Caenorhabditis elegans: one gene and its partner. The protein of the gene in region 1 purifies or fractionates together with the protein of each later gene. This does not show direct contact. Each region holds a gene or a part of one and is shown on either strand. Other genes may lie near its edges. The genes, in order: mtm-1 and lst-4.

Evidence for each region.
Region 2: the proteins of mtm-1 (region 1) and lst-4 purify together in Caenorhabditis elegans (affinity purification with western blotting, with the first as the bait; one study listed by BioGRID). This does not show direct contact.

What each region holds. Positions count from the first base shown.
Region 1 is NC_003279.8:5,131,939-5,139,235, forward strand, and holds mtm-1 (Phosphatidylinositol-3,5-bisphosphate 3-phosphatase mtm-1), read left to right. Parts: upstream 1-2,800; 5' UTR 2,801-2,828; coding exon 2,829-2,868; intron 2,869-2,936; coding exon 2,937-3,008; intron 3,009-3,051; coding exon 3,052-3,158; intron 3,159-3,213; coding exon 3,214-3,432; intron 3,433-3,772; coding exon 3,773-3,943; intron 3,944-3,988; coding exon 3,989-4,170; intron 4,171-4,338; coding exon 4,339-4,823; intron 4,824-5,261; coding exon 5,262-5,464; intron 5,465-5,512; coding exon 5,513-5,597; intron 5,598-5,646; coding exon 5,647-5,750; intron 5,751-5,801; coding exon 5,802-5,900; 3' UTR 5,901-6,033; downstream 6,034-7,297. Other genes in the region: pfkb-1.1 (6-phosphofructo-2-kinase domain-containing protein), read left to right, coding at 1-91, 146-248, 305-371, 429-572, 621-881, 1,389-1,982; tyms-1 (Thymidylate synthase), read left to right, coding at 6,332-6,533, 6,578-7,029, 7,086-7,297. UniProt on the Caenorhabditis elegans protein: Lipid phosphatase that specifically dephosphorylates phosphatidylinositol 3-phosphate (PI3P) and phosphatidylinositol 3,5-bisphosphate (PI(3,5)P2). Negatively regulates accumulation of PI3P on intracellular vesicles.
Region 2 is NC_003282.8:14,061,995-14,071,399, reverse strand, and holds the start of lst-4 (Sorting nexin lst-4), read left to right. Parts: upstream 1-2,929; coding exon 2,930-3,205; intron 3,206-4,370; coding exon 4,371-4,592; coding exon of another isoform or gene 4,593-4,667; intron 4,668-6,737; exon of another isoform or gene 6,738-6,740; coding exon of another isoform or gene 6,741-6,777; intron 6,778-6,998; coding exon of another isoform or gene 6,999-7,198; intron 7,199-7,972; coding exon 7,973-8,329; intron 8,330-8,369; coding exon 8,370-8,710; intron 8,711-8,775; coding exon 8,776-8,879; intron 8,880-8,934; coding exon 8,935-9,012; intron 9,013-9,071; coding exon 9,072-9,238; intron 9,239-9,405. UniProt on the Caenorhabditis elegans protein: Involved in the signaling of vulval development by acting as a negative regulator of epidermal growth factor receptor (EGFR) signaling. Aids in phagosomal membrane tubule formation which is required for phagosomal fusion with endosomes and lysosomes.

The DNA of each region.
Region 1 (7,297 bases):
ATCGCACTTGTCGGACTGCCGGCACGTGGCAAAACATACATCTCACACAAACTGTGTCGTTACCTCAACTGGATTGGAATTAAGACCAAAGGTTGGTCCTGATTCGATTATATGTACGACATGAAACAAAAAATCAAAATTACAGCATTCAATGTCGGCGAGTACAGAAGAAGAGCGTGTAATTTGGAAGAAGAAGGCGAAAATGAGTTCTTCTCGCCAAACAACGCCAGAGGTCAAAAGATCCGAGAGTGAGATTTTACGAAACTATGAAGAAAAAAAATTAAAAAAATTCCTGAATTTTCAGTGAGTGCGCGAAATTAGCCATTGAAGATATGGGAAGGTACTTGGATAACAAGGAAGGAGAAGTGGCGGTGAGTTACAAAGGAAAAAATTTCAAAAAAATATATAGACATAAACTTTTTATTCAGATTCTCGACGCGACAAATACTACAAGAGACCGACGAAAGCTTCTGATGGAGTTTTGCAGAAATATGATGCACGAGCCACCATTCCGTGTCTTCTTTGTGGAATCTGTTTGTGATGATCCTGATATTATCAACTCGAATATCACGGTAACCTTTAGATCTTCAAAATAATCACCTTAACCCGCATATTTTCAGGAAGTGAAAATCAATTCGCCAGATTATAAAGGAATAATGTCTCAAGAGGAAGCAAAAGAAGACTTTTTGAAGCGTATCGAGAACTATCGAATGCAATATGAGCCACTTGATGAGGATCATGATGAAGAGCTGAGCTATATCAAAGTTATCAATGCCGGAAAATCCTTCTATGTTCACAATGTTAATGGTCATGTGCAGAGTCGTGTTGTGTATTTCCTGATGAATATTCATCTTCTTCCAAGAAGTATTTATTTGTCAAGAGTAAGTTTAACAAAAAAACCGAAAAAATTTTGCGCTAAAAATAGGTAACAGGTCTCGACGCGAAAATTTTTATTAAATGCCAAAAAGTGTGCGTCTTTACAAACTACTGTAGTTTCATTTTTTTTGCTGCCGAGTTTTCATTGAGTTTCAGTTTTCTCACGATTTGCTGTAAAAACGTTTTTATTTTTTATTTCACTTTTTGATAAATTAATATTTTTTTACCAAACAAGCTAAGAGAGCCCGTAAAAAAACTTGAATTTTAACAAATCGTGAAAAAAAAAGAAAATCAATGAAAATTCCGCAGCAACGAGAGTTTGAAATTACAGTATTCTTTAAAGGTGATGCCTTTTTTCATTTAACAAAAATGTCGTGTCAAGACCGGACACCGGTTTTTTTGGCACAAAATTCCGTTTCTGGGATATAATTCATTCAATTAACAGCACTGAGAATTATCAAGTATTTTTAAACTTTTATAGTTTAAAAATCCCTTTAAAAAATTTATTACAGCATGGAGAAAGTGAGTACAACAGAATTGGTCGTCTTGGTGGTGATTCCCCACTCAGTGAAAATGGTTTAAATTACGCTGGAAAACTTCGCGAATACTTCGAAAAAGAAGATTTGGACGATTTCCGTGTTTGGTCATCTCAAAAGATTCGTGCCGCCCAGACAGCTTCTCATCTGAAAGATCTCGCTGGTCATACAGAGTTCTGGAAATGTCTTGATGAAATCGATGCCGGAATATGTGAAGGATTAACTTATGAAGATTTCGAGGCTCGTTATCCGAAACAATTCGCTGAAAGAGATAAGGATAAATATCACTACCGTTATCCAAGTGGGGAATCATATGAAGATCTGGTTGCTCGTCTGGAGCCAGTTATCATGGAGCTTGAGAGACAATCCAATGTCCTTGTCATTTCTCATCAAGCAGTTCTCCGTTGCATTCTTGCCTATTTTACTAACAAAAATCGAGATGATCTTCCATATCTGAAGGTTCCATTGCATACAGTCATCAAGCTCACACCAAAAGCCTATTCCTGTGAGATTGAACTTTTCAAATTCGACATCGAAGCAGTCAATACTTACAGAGAGAAGCCACAATAGGAAGTATTTATTCTTTATCTAGCCAATTATCTATGCCAAATGTACATTTATTTTTTCATACAAGTTCCCATTTTTATGTCGGGCGTTTTTTTTGAGATTGCATTTTCCCTGTTTTTGAACAATTGCCTTTGAATTTAAATACGTTGTCGTTTATGTGAGAGTTATAAAGATTACATCGATTTCAATTTTATGGACTGATTGCAATATTTCTCGCTGTGTCATTTTCTACAATAATCTATTTTTAATGTATTAAACGGTCAGGAGCCACATTAAAAATTTAAAAGAAAACCAAACAAGAACGCGTAACTGAGTTGTTGTTATTTTAAAAGAAAAATCAATTCATATAAAAATTAATCCTTAAAGGCGCAGAGATTTATTCAGATGGGTCCCGACGCGCAAAAAAGTTTATGGTAATTGTGTTTGAATTTTTGCGGCTGCTTCCTCGTTTATTTTTCTTGCATTTTTCAATTTATTAAGGGAATTTTGTCGTTGTTTAAAACCATTGTATGAAAAAAACACAGGAAATCCCACATTTTTAATGGAAGTAGTTTATTTGTACTTTGAAAACTGATTTTAAACATATTCTGACAGAAAAGTGAAAAGAAAACGACATCTGAATAAATCCATGCGGTTTTAAAAAGGATTGCCAAAATATTGTGAAGTTACGATAAAAACAAAGCTGAAGCAAGTTGTATTTATTTTCTGCACATACCTGCGTCTCTTAGTGGCCTTCTTCTCTCTCTCTCTCTCTCTTTCCCAATAATCGTTCCACTATTCGGCTTTCAAACATTCTCATACACTTTCAAAAATCAATTTACAGGAAAATTGATCGAAATGTCAATATCAATGGATGACAGAGGGAACAATAGTGGAGAAGTTGGAGAATGTGAGTCATCACGAACTATTTCGTTATGAAATTTCGTTATTTGAATTCAATTTATTTTATCATTTCAGTTGCCAGTTCATCAATGATACAAGAATCAATAGATCTCAAATTGTTAGCCGCAGAAAGTCTTATTTGGACAGGTTGGAATTGATTTTTTAACAATTATAATGTGAGGAATTACAGAGAAAAATGTGACATACTTCGGACCACTTGGAAAATTTCCAGGTAAAATCGTAATTACTAGGTATCGAATGGTTTTTCTCGTTGGTGATGGTGGAAAAATGTATGAGGTTTGTGATTAAAATTTTAAAATTATATTTTACAAATATAAACAAAAAATTTCAGCAATGGAAGCTCGATATTCCACTCGGACAAGTGTCTCGGATAGAAAAAGTTGGTAGAAAGACGACGAGTGTTGCCAAACGAGGCGATGATAATTATGGATTCACAATTTATTGTAAAGATTATCGAGTTTATCGATTTACATGTAATCCAGCATCGAGTGATAGAAAAAATGTTTGCGATTCGTTGAATAGATACGCTTTTCCGCTATCGCATAATTTGGTGAGTTTTTTTTTTAATTTTAATAGGGGGCTTTTGGCTCTAGAACTATTGGAAATGAAAAAAAATTCTGATATTTTTTTTTAATTTACGAAAAAATAAAATTAATTATTCATTTATTGGTTAGCAAAAAAATTAAAGTTAAAAAAACACGGTATCGTAATTTCACAAGTTTTCGCCTTAGAAAGCCGCACGGATTTCTTCAAATGGGTCTCGGCACGCAAAAAGTTTATTGTGTAGATTTTAAACAATCAATGATTTATTAAAAACTTACTTGACAACCAAGAAATAGACAGCCTAACTTGAAAAACAACATTATTCAACCAAAAAAGGAAATTTTCAGCCAATGTTCGCCTCTGTACATGCAGCAGAAACACCTAGACTTATGAAAGATGGTTGGAAAATTTATTCAGCTGAAAAAGAATATGAACGCCTTGGAATCCCGAATTCACGTCTTTGGAAAGAAGTGGACATTAATAAAGACTATAAATTTAGCGAAACTTATCCAAGAACTGTAGGTTAATGATGGTTTTCTTTTTTAAAAATAATTTTATTTCAGTTTGTAATTCCGACAGTATCTTGGGAGGAAGGAAAACCATTTGTAAAGAAGCTCGGCGAGTTTAGAAGCAAAGAAAGAATTCCCGTGTTGAGTTGGATTAATCAGACAACTTTAGCTTCAATTTCACGATGCTCACAGCCAATGACTGGAATTTCTGGAAAAAGAAGTGCTGAGGACGAGCGGTAGGTTTTATTTTTATTTTTAATGATAATAAAAAATAATCGGAATATTAATATTCTAATATGCTGAAATGTCACAAAAGAAAAACGAAAAAAAATATTTGGAAAATCGTTTATTAAGATATATTTTTTAAAGCATTCAATTTTTCAACAAAAAATTATATTTTTCAGACATCTCACGAACATTATGAATGCCAATGCTAATTGTCGTGAACTTCTGATCCTTGATGCAAGACCAGCAGTCAATGCAAAACTTAATAAGGCAAAAGGTGGAGGTTATGAAGAGAATTATGTCAATGCTCCTCTAACATTCCTCAATATTCACAATATTCACGTTGTTCGGGATTCATTAAAACGATTGCTAGCCGCGCTGATTCCACGTGTCGACGAGAAGGGATACTACAAAGCGTTAGACGAATCGAAATGGCTCAATCATGTTCAGAGCATTTTGGAAGGAGCAGTAAAAGCTGTCTTCAATGTTGACACTGAAAAACAATCAGTATTGATTCATTGTTCTGATGGTTGGGATCGAACTGCACAGCTGACGTCGTTGGCAATGATTCAACTCGACTCCTATTACCGTACAATTGAAGGATTTATCGTTTTGATTGAGAAGGAATGGTGTAGCTTTGGTCATAAATTTGGAGAGAGAATCGGTTCGTTTTTGATAGATTTTAAAAATCATGCAATTAAAGTTGCAGTAGCGTGAATGAGGATTTTGCTTTTTTTAAAAATCCATTCAGAAAATTTTTAAAAAAATCAAAAAAATTGCGAAAAAAAATCCAACTTAAAAAACTAGATTTTTCAGTTCTGGCGAAGTTCCCAGTTCTCATCTTGGGGAAAATTCAAACAGGAAACTTACTAGGGAACACGATAACTATAAGTTATACTTATAGTTATCGTGTTCCCTAGTTAGTCAAAATTGATAAATCGAATTTTTTAAAATTTGAATTTTTCATCCGTTCGCAATTTTATTTCGTTTTTCTGTTGTGGTATTTCTGAATTTGAGAAAAATTTGGAATTTTTTGAAGCTAACAACTATAAAAAATATTATTTGAGAACCAAAAATCTTTGATTTTATACTTTCCGTTCAGGTCACGGCGACGATAACTACAGCGATGGAGAACGATCTCCCGTATTTGTTCAATTCTGTGACTGCCTATGGCAAATTATGCGACAATTTCCATGGGCATTTGAATTTACACAAGAACTGCTAATTTGTATGCTCGATGAGCTCTACGCTTGCAGATATGGAACATTTTTGTACAATTCCGAAAAAATCCGGCTGAAGGATAAGGTTGTTTTCATGAAGATTTTTTCAATTTTTTTTTTTTCAACTTTTCAGAAATGCGATGAAACGACGATATCGTTCTGGTCCTATGTTTTGGAAAATAAAAAGAAATTCAGAAATCCAATGTTTAAGCATGGAAGTTAGTTTTCTGTTAAACTAATATTAAATCTCAAAATTTTAACTTTCAGAATCCAATAAAGTGATAAACGTAAACCCATCTCTCTGCGGTTTACATGTATGGATTGATTACTACGCCCGATCGAATCCATATGTAGTTACTCCAAATCATGAGGTAAACAGCAGTTCCGCTAGAAAATGATAATGAATTAATTAGAAGTTTTAGGATGTTCAACAGCCAGGCGCACAGTTTGTCGACGAGAAAAAGCAATTGTTGGATGAGATTATGGCTCTTGACGACGCTGCTCAAAAATTGACCGCCTAGTTATTTTAATTATGCTCAGTTATTCAATTTTGTTGTTAGACTTTTAAAAATTTAATTTAGAACTTTTCACTGTGATTTCATTTTGCTTTCTTTATGTGCATTGTACAATATTATATGAAAATAATTCATCTTTAAATATTATTTAATTAAATACAACAGCTGTTAAAATTAAATACAACAGCATAATAAAGAATAGACTGTTAACAGTCTATTCTTTATTATTCAAATTCAAATTTGCCGCCATTATCGTTGCTGACGTTTTTCCAGGGAGCGCGCGAAACACATGCAATTTTCAAATAGGAAAAACAATTGATCCAGTATTTTTCCTTCCTTGCTTTGATTTTATTGCTTCAGACTTATTATTCCGATCTTAAAAGTCAAATTAATTGATTAAATTCTTTAAAAAAGTAATTCATTTTCAGATGGAAGTCATGAACAAAGAAAATATCATCGCCGATGCGCCTTCTGATGTCGTAAAAACCGTTCAACAGCAAGTTCACTTGAATCAAGATGAATATAAATATTTGAAGCAAGTTGAGCAAATTTTGAGAGAAGGAACACGAAGAGATGATCGCACTGGGACTGGAACTATTTCGATTTTTGGAATGCAATCGAAATACTGTTTGAGAAATGGTAACGCTTTCGATTTTCCATTTTAAAAATTAATACTTTTATAGGCACAATTCCGTTGCTTACCACGAAACGTGTCTATTGGAAGGGAGTTCTCGAGGAATTACTTTGGTTTATTTCTGGATCGACCGATGGAAAGCTTTTGATGGAGAAAAATGTGAAGATTTGGGAGAAAAACGGCGATCGCGCGTTCCTTGACAATCTCGGATTTACGTCTCGTGAAGAAGGAGATCTTGGACCAGTTTATGGATTTCAATGGAGACACTTTGGGGCGAAATATGTGGATTGTCATACAGATTACTCTGGACAAGGTGTTGATCAGTTGGCTGAAGTTATCCGACAGATTAAGGAGCAACCGGATAGTCGAAGAATCATTATGTCCGCGTGGAATCCGTCGGATCTTGGACAAATGGTTCTGCCACCGTGTCACACAATGTGTCAGTTCTATGTGGACAATGGAGAGCTCTCGTGTCAGCTTTACCAACGAAGTGGAGATATGGTGAGCAAAAATTTCAATGTAGTAAATTACATATTTTACTAGAAGTTAAATTTCAGGGTCTCGGAGTTCCATTCAACCTTGCCAGCTACGGCCTTCTCACCCACATGATTGCAAAAGTGTGTGGATTGAAACCAGGAACCCTTGTTCATACTCTCGGAGATGCTCATGTCTACTCAAATCATGTGGATGCTCTCAAAATTCAACTGGACCGTGAGCCATACGCTTTCCCCAAAATTCGATTCACGCGAGACGTGGCCTCAATCGATGA
Region 2 (9,405 bases), on another chromosome or scaffold:
TTCAACAACAGTTAGCTCTGCGAGTAAATTTTGGGAACTAATTTTTCGAAATACTGACAGCCCCCATTTCAGCGAAAATTTACACGAATGAATGATTTTTAACAATTTCAGAACATCAGCATCTTACACCTGAACATAAATTTTAATCCTAATCCCTGAAAAAAGTGTGGGAATTCACAAAAACTGTGCAAAATGATAAAGTTTTCGTGAGAAGACGAACGACCGCGACGCAACGAGACAGCAAAACCGCATGGAGAGTGCAGAGAAAACGACATTCGCTTCGAGACCCTTCATCTGCAGGCCACCAATGCGCCTTTGATCTCGTACTGTCTGCGTATCACTTTCTCATAGAATTCTAGCGAGAATGTGGGAAATTTGTGAAAAATCAGGGTAAATTGACAATAACATAAATATTTTCGCGGGAAAATTCGAAAAATTGCTGATTTGATATCAGGAGAAATCGAGAAGAACTGAAAAATCAGGAAAAAACCGGTTCACCTTCCACCGCCTGGCAGGACAATCCGATTTTACGATCTCGCGTTCGGTTTGACCGTTTTTTTCTCTGCGCTTCTCGTATTTTTTTTCCGAAGTTGATTGGCTTTTGTGTTTGTGACCATAAAGCTGCTTCCTTTCATATAACTGTATTGCTTGCGTCACCCCCGGTGGTTTGTGTTGCGAAACCGTTTTCCAGATGATTTCGCAAGATATCGGATGTCGTTGGCTATGTCTAATTATATTTGTTTGAATAGGGAATTTTGTTGCTTTGCCGAAAAATATGTGCTAAACGAACACTTTGTGTGTTGTGTTTTCGGAATAATCGCATTAATTCTAGAAAAGTCTATAAGGAAGATTATAATTATTTCGTGGTCAATAATAAATTGCTGATCTTCTTATAAAAAAGTATAAAATCATAGATTGATATCACTGTGAAAGAAAAATTCTTGAAAATTAGTTGAAAAAATAATAAAAAATTGCTTACTGTAAGCGCGCTCCAATGACAATTTTTGGCTGTAAGTGCGCTCCATTGACAACTTTTTGCGGCGGGAATTTTAATATTTGAATTTATTTCGAAAAAAAATATTATTTTCGAGCGATAAAGGTTAATTTTGTCAGGTTTTTATGCGAATTTTTCCCATTTTTCTAAAATTAAATTGAACTGGACCCTTTCTAAAGTTTTTTCTGTGAAAATAACGAAAAAGCACTCTGTAAATTCTTCAAATTGCTGCATTTTGTCTTTTAACAGTGTTTTTTTTTACCCAAAAATGCACTTTCCCACCCAAAATTCAACAATTTTAATCATATGCCTATGGAAATTTGACACCTATTCCTCCTCCTCCCTAAAAAACTTCCCAATTTCACCAGTCATCACGAGTTGCCGCGTTGTGTATTGAAATATTGGCTGACTCATTGTTTATTTTTTATTGATTTCTCATATTCTCTGCTCGCTCGCTTTTTTTGACACTTATCAACTGAAAAACCTTGCTGAAAATTCAGTTTTACTCTTTTTCTGGAATATTTTAAATTAAAAATTAACATTTTTTTCAGAGAAATGGCTCAGGTGAAAGCCGAGTATGATTTTCAAAGTCAACCAAACACAGGCGAACTGTCAATCTCGGCTGGCGAAGTTTTGACGGTTATTCGAGAGGTAAGAGGCTTTTTGAGCAGGTGGAACAGAGTTGTTCGAGGATTTTTTGAATCGTAAAATGAAACAATCGGCTAAATTAATTTTGAATTCCCGCGTGAATAAATCGGCGTTTTCCCGTTTTCTGGCGAAATTCATCTGTTTTTTCTTAATTTTTTGTTTAATTTTTGTTTTAAAACACTGATTATTCGTTTTTCAGGCATTTTTCCGAAGCGAAAACTCGATTCCTCGAACAAAATACGCAGAAACTTTAAATCTGGCCAAACGTTGATAATTTACATAATTTTGTCAAACAAAAAAAAACTGATAAATGGTGTAAATTCATTGGTTTTGTCAGATTTCCAGGCGTTTTTCCTGAAAATTTCTTATCAATATATGAAATTCCTGATTTTTAGGCCAATTTTCGTCCGGAGAACAAGTTTTCTCCGCGGAAAAATGTCTGAAAAACTGATAAATGGCGTTTTAATTCAAATATCTCTTTAAAAAAATAAGAAAAACGAAAGAATTTACCCAAAAATGGAAAAAAAATCACAAAAAGAATTTATTATTCGATCATTTCAGCCCATTTTTTTCTATAATTTAAAGCAAAATCAAGAGTTTTTATTTCAGAACATCGACGGAGGATGGATAGAAGGTCGAAACGTGCGTGGATCCGTCGGACTCTTTCCCGAATCCTACGTAACTCCCTATCAAGCTTCTCGTCCGCCACCGGTAACCCATTTGTCTTCTAGTTAACCCACTTTCTCATCTATTTCCGGTTTTGATTGTATTTTGTGTGTGTGTGTGTGTGTCTTCGTTGTGTGTCTTCGTTGTGTGCATTTCTGCGGGGAGCATCTAAATTGGTTGTGGTGAGCCAAAAGCATCAAAATGATTGAAATTGCCTTCTCATCAGCATTTTGAGCTGCTGGAACCCTCTAGAAATCGCTGAATCTGATGCTTGTTTCCGAAAAATATTCAAAACGGAGAGAAAGATGAGTAAAAGCCCATGAAATTTGAATAATAAAAAAGATGGTGGAAGAAGAACGCAACAAAGAGGAGTGAGATGAAGCGGAAGAGACTGGAACAAAATAGAAAAAAAAAGAAAGAAAAACTATTTTGAAATTGGTTTTTCCTCGGGTCCCTGGAGACGTTCGGATCCTCCTACTCACTTGAAGACGGCGGTCCAGATACTTGAAAACAAAATAAGTAGATTCTCAAAGAAGCTCTATATACCTGATTCGTCTTATATTCCACTCATTCTGCCAAGAGATTTCCTACTTTTTATCCGACTTTTCGATCTTTTCGCGAATGCTCTTCACATCGAGTCTTCGAAAGGCCGTTGAGAACTACCCAACACCACCGGGCGGCTCATCTGAAGATGCTCATCGGCAGCTTCTCGAACGTCGTCGCAAACAGATGCTTCGACGACACACGTGTAGTACACTCATCAAACAAGACACATCTGCTTCACCGCATAAGATGAAGCCACCTATTCTGATGGAGGAAGAGGATGAACAGCATTCCACTGGGAAGCACTCGTCTAGAAAGAGCAGTTTTAAGAAAAGTGGAGCAATATCGAAGAGTGTAGGGGTTTTGTGTAGAAGATAATCTTTTCGATTCTTTCCAAACCTCTCAGAAATTCCTCGAAATTCTGAGGCAAATTCATAGGTGCACGTGGTGTCAGAGTGTCTCATTTCGGTTTGACCTACGTAGATCTACAAAAAATGCGGGAGAAGAAACGCAGAGTTCTCCACTAATTTCGTATGGTTAAGAACGTGCTGACGTCACATATTTTTGGGCGAAAATGCCCGCATTTTTTGTAGATCAAACCGTAATGGGACAGCCTGGCACCACGTGTAGGTGCCAAACAGAGTAAATTTTGACAATTTGAAATTTACATTCGCTCACATGGTGCCAGGCCGTCCCATTACGGTCTGATCTACAAAAAAAATGCGGGAATTTTTTGCCCAACAATGTGACGTCAGCACGTTCTTTACAATTCAAAATCAGATGAGAACTCTGCGTCTCTTCTCCCGCATTTTTTTTGTAGATCAACGTAGATCAAACCGAAATGGGAAACTCTGACACCATGTGTTCGCTACCAAACTTAATGAGGTCGATCCTCAAATAGGACACCGCTGGAGACTCCACAAAAGCTCACAACAGATTTGTTTTGTTATTCTACAGTAATCCTACAGTACTCCTACCGTACCATATCACAAAATAGAGCTCTAGTAGTTGGTTACGGGTCTCACCACGCTGACAACAAGTTTCTGTTACTCGTGTCGATTTACAGTTGTCAGCGTGGCGAGACCCATTTTCTTGTGACGTATACGTAATAACTGTAGCTCCCAGAGTGCTCCATTCCGGCTTGATCTACGTTGATCTACAAAAAACGCGCGAATTGAGACGTAGAGTTATCCACTGATTTCGCACAGTACCATTTCGCTTTGATCTTCGAAAATGCGGGAGAAGAGACGCAGACATCTCATCTGATTTCGCATGGTTAAGAGCGTGCTGAAGTCACAATTTTTCTTGAAAAGTATCCCCGCATTTTTCGTAGATCAAACCGCAATGAGACAGCCTGACACCACGTGTGCACGGTTAAAAACGTGCTGACGTCACATTTTGTCGGGCAAAAAATCCCGCATTTTTTGTAGATCAATCCGTGATGGGACCACATGACACACAGATCCCATTTCAATTTTCTAACTTTTTAAACAATTTCATAAATACTCAAAAATTCCAGGTCCTACCACCACCACTCCCACCAACTTCAAGCGGTCCACCAGCTGCCTCATCGCGTCCTTTTGATGATTGGGGAGGCGCTTCAGAAGTTGCTGCTCCACCATCCTACGGAGCCCAACATCATCATCAGCCAACGCCATCTGTACCGGAAGTCACTAGATCTTCATATCCATCACAGAATGATGATTTTGACGATGAATGGACGGATGAGGATGATGAGCAGGTATTTTTAAAATTTTATTTTAATTTTTTGATTGTCCAGTTTCTGTCCGTCCTATTTATACCCTCTAACTCCTAAATCTATATATCCTAAAAGACCAAACGAAAAGTCCAAAAAGAATAGTCATCCTCCTCAAAAATCGCCGGGAAACGACATCGTTGTCGTCGCCGCCGCAACTTGGTTTCCGGTAGAAGTCGTCTCTCCACTCCGTCGCCGCTGGACCCTCTTCTCTTCGGACATTTCATTTCTAATCATTCGAAATTCTCTCTCTTCGTCGTCGGCTGCGACTATTTAAATGTCATCCAGATTTATTTGCTACTACTACAACAACTTCTGCTGCTGCTGAAATTTTCGCGAATGCTGTTTGCTCGTGGACGATCCTCGAGCTTTATCGCTCTAGATCATCTACAAGTTAATCAGTCGCCGTCGTTTCAAAATGTAAAGGACATTTTTATTTAACTGGGATTTTTTATTTAGAATTTTTTTAAGTTTATAGGTTTTATTAATTTTACTCCAACTAACTCTAGCATTCAAAGGTTTTTTCTTAATACACGTGAAGTCAGAAAGTCCCATTTCGCACTTTGATCTTCGAAAAATGCGGGAGGTGAGACGTAGACATTTCAACCAGGGGTGTGCGGCAAATTTGCCGAATTTGTCGAATTTGCCGTTTGCCGAGCTCGGCAAATTTCAAAAAAGTAGATTTGCCGAATTTGCCGAGCTCGGCAAATTTCGAAATTTGCCGCACACGTCAAAAATTTGACAGTACAATTTTGACTAAAACTATTGATTTTTTAGCCAAAAATTTAGTAAAATGATACAAAATTGAGCTATTTTGATGCTTAAACAGACATACTACGCGGAACTTATTCAGAAACCAGATGTGTGTTAAGAATTCAGTAGTTTTGGTGCTCCAAAAAACATAAAAAAAATATCAAATTTTTCCGAGTTTGTTAAGCACGGCGAGTTTGCCGAATTTGCCGAATTTGCCGAGCTCGGCAACTTTGCCGAATTTGCCGTGCTCGGCAAATATTGAAAAAAAGAGATTTTCCGAATTTGCCGAGCTCGGCAAATTTTGAGATTTGCCGCACACCCCTGATTTCAACTGATTTCGTTGATAGCGTGCTAACGTCGTAATTTTTCTGGGAGAAAATTCACGATTTTTTTGTAGATCAAACTGTATTGGGACACACCGCTCCACTGCAAATGAAAACTCTCCGCCCCCAATAAAATAGGTCTCGTTGGGTATTAAACGTGCTCAAAAAAATCATTAAAACAACGGAAAATTCTCAAAAATTGGCGAAACTGATACCTAACGCCAAATACACGGGGTGTCAGGCTGTCCCATAACGGTTTGATCTACAAGACGCGGGAATTTTTCGCCCAGAAAAATGCGACGTCAGCACGCTCTTAACCATACGAAATTTGCTGAAAAATCTGCGTCTAAATTCCCGCATTTTTTGTAGATCACGCCGAAGTGAGACACTTTGACACCAATACCTAACGAGACCTATGGTTCGGGGGCGGAGCACCTTTTCATGTCGGTTTCAAAATTAATACTACGCATACAATTAAAAAATCACCCTGAAAAACAAAAAAAAAACCCAAATTTTCTTCTCAAAAATAGGGATATCCCTTCTCAACTGCTCTTTGCAACACCCCGCGCTTTATATGTGCAAGCATCTCTCCTGATTGCTGCTATTGAGAATCCCCCAGCACTCTCCACCAGCTCATTTTTGCTCTGTCGCCACCCGACGCCTCTCGAAAACTATCATCATGTGTTGAGTCTTTTTTGGTGATCCTATTGGATATCCATACTCACATATATATATATATATGTATATATATATATATACATATATCCATATATATATATACATGCAAAAATGCGTCGACTGCGTCAATCGGACGCCGACGTCTTCTTCTATAACCGTCCTATTCCTATTACTGAAATTCGTGGATTTCATAGGGCGAGCGTCTCGTTCTCACCGTCGTGGGTTCGTTTTTAGATATTTTAGGGGAAACGTTCAGCGTTCTAGCACTTTTTGTAATCCGTTGATTAAGGAACACCGTCTGTCCGTCCATGATCAAGTTGTGAATTATCAAAACTCGATTCGTCATCATCATCATCGTGCAAGTGGGTCTCGAACGGATATGTCCACTGACGACGAGACGAGGAGTAGTCAGCAAGGTTATTAGAATAGTTCTTGTCGGCGAAGCATTCGGACATCTATTACACATTCGTTGGAAGGTTAGATATTGAAGAAGAGATGATGTTCCTCGCAACGAAAAAACGTGGAGCCACGTGGCTTCTCTGTTTCTCTCTTTTCGATCTCTCATTTCCCGCGAATGTGCAATTACAAGATTTTCAAAGCATAGTGGCTTTAACAACGCTCACACATCTCATTGCAGACGGTGCCTACCCCTCTAGCAAAAGAAACGGTAGTGTGGGCTCGTCTACCCGCTCCACGAGCACCAAAAAGCGCTTGAGTAGGCAAGATAGCACCGCCCGACGGAGACGTCTCAGTGAGGAGAGAGATAGTCGACGGAGAGTTGAGAAGTCGGTGAGCTCGTGTTTGAGCTCGAATCGGTCTCACCACGATCAGAATAAGGTTCGGGTTGTTCGATAAGTTGTTTCAAGTGGTGTCAGAAAGTCTCAATCAGGGCTGAGCAGTCGCCCAAAAAAATCGGCGATCGGCGATCGCCGATCGCCCAAACTTTTTTTTTTTCGGCGATCGGCGATCACCAATTTCCGAAAAATTTCGGCGATCGGCGATCACCAATTTCCGAAAAATTTCGGCGATCGCCGATTGCCGATCGCCGATCGGCTATTTTAACCGAGTTATTCGGTCAAAACACCTTTCCGTTTTTTTGTTTGGTAAGGAAATGCGACGAAAAATTAACATTTACTCAAAAAAAAAATTAAAAACAACAAAACAATCGTTTAAAAAAAACATGAGATTTTAAAAATCGAGATGAATTTATTGAAAAATTCCATCGGCGATCGGCGATCGCCGATCGCCGAAAAATCACGAAAATCGCCGATCACCGATCGCCGATTGCCGCTCACCCCTGGTCTCAATGCGGTCTGATCTACAAAAAATGCGGAAATTTTTCGCCCAAAAAAATTGTGACGTCAGCACACTCTTAACCATGCGAAATCAGATGTCTGCGTCTCACTTCCCGCATTTTTCGTAGATCAGAGCGAAGCGGGACTTTCTGACTCCACGTGTTGTTTGAGGCGTACGGGACTGCTCGTTGTTCTGATTGGCTTAAAGTATCAAGCTTCCTTAACTATTGAGGTTGTTATGTAACGCATGCATGTTTTCCTTATTTGTGTCCAAAAAGTTATAAAATAAAAAAAATCAAAAAATTCCGATTTCCAGGAACCAACTCGGCCCAACGTTCAATCCTCGATCGGCTCGAACTCCCGTCGTGACCTCAGCCGTAGCCACTCGGAACACGGTGGACCTGATCGAGGATCCAATAAGGTCAACAAGAACATCAATCGATTCTCGAATTTTGTAAAGTCCGGAGTCGAAGCGTACGTGATTGGTGAATCAAAGACCACCTCACAGATTAGTGAACGACATGAAGTTGTGATGAACAATGGAATTATTCAATGGAAACCGATTCAACAGTACTACACGTGTATAGTGGATAAACCGAAGAAAGAGTCAAAGCTGAAAGGGCTGAAGAGCTTCATCGCATATTCGATTACGTCGAGTTTGACTAATATTCAGGTAAATTTGTAGATTTCGACGCTTACTAACCGCTTGCTAGCGTCAGGTATCCCGTCGCTACAAGCATTTCGATTGGCTCCACGAGCAGCTATCGGCTAAATATGTGCTCATTCCGATTCCACCGTTGCCAGAGAAACAGGTCGCCGGAAGATACGAGGAGGATCTTATTGATCATCGGAAGCACATTCTTCAGTTATGGGTCAACAAGATTTGTAGGCATCCAGTGTTGAGTCAGTCGGAAGTTTGGCTCCACTTTATCAGTTGCACCGACGAAAAAGATTGGAAGAATGGGAAGCGGCGAGCTGAAAAGGATGAATACATTGGTGGAGCTTTCCTGAACTGTATCACTGTTCCACATCAACCATTGGATCCGAATAATGTGTAAGAAACTAATAGAATTCTACGCAGAAAGTTTGATAATCCTGCGTAATCCTACATGTTTCCAGCGATATGCAAGTTGAACGATTCCAACGGAGCGTCAAAACATCGGAAGAAGCGATGCGTGTGATGCAGGAGAGAATGAACATGTTCCAGAAGGTCTTCGCTGGACGTATGTTGGAAATTTTCGAGCTTTAAAAATTTAAATTAAAAAAATCAAATTTCAGCGGTAAAACAAAATTGGCAAAAGATGGGAAGCGCGTTCAAGACACTTCAGCAATCTTTTGAGATTGATGAGACCGTTGGTATGAATCTTTGGATTTTTAAAAGTTCTTGGATAAATTTAAAAATTCTAATTTTTCAGCCAGTCGCCGCCTGACAGAAGCTCTCGCCTACACTGCATCAGAATATCATGAAATTGGGCAAGTATTCGATGCGCACACGAAGAATGACATGGAACCAGTGCTTGAGAACCTTTATTCGTATAAGGGAACAGTGCAAAATGTGCCGGATATTATTCAAGTGCACAAGGTACTGAACAGAGGCCCTTATATCCTGAAGTGGAAGAGTTTTTGAGGGTTGGGAAACTCTGCCAGGACCGCGACGCAGCCGCGTGCGGAGCGGCTCGAATTAATGTTTATTTTAGACGTTTGCCAAGAATGCGTGATTTTCCTTCATTTTTTGGATTTTTTTTGCGT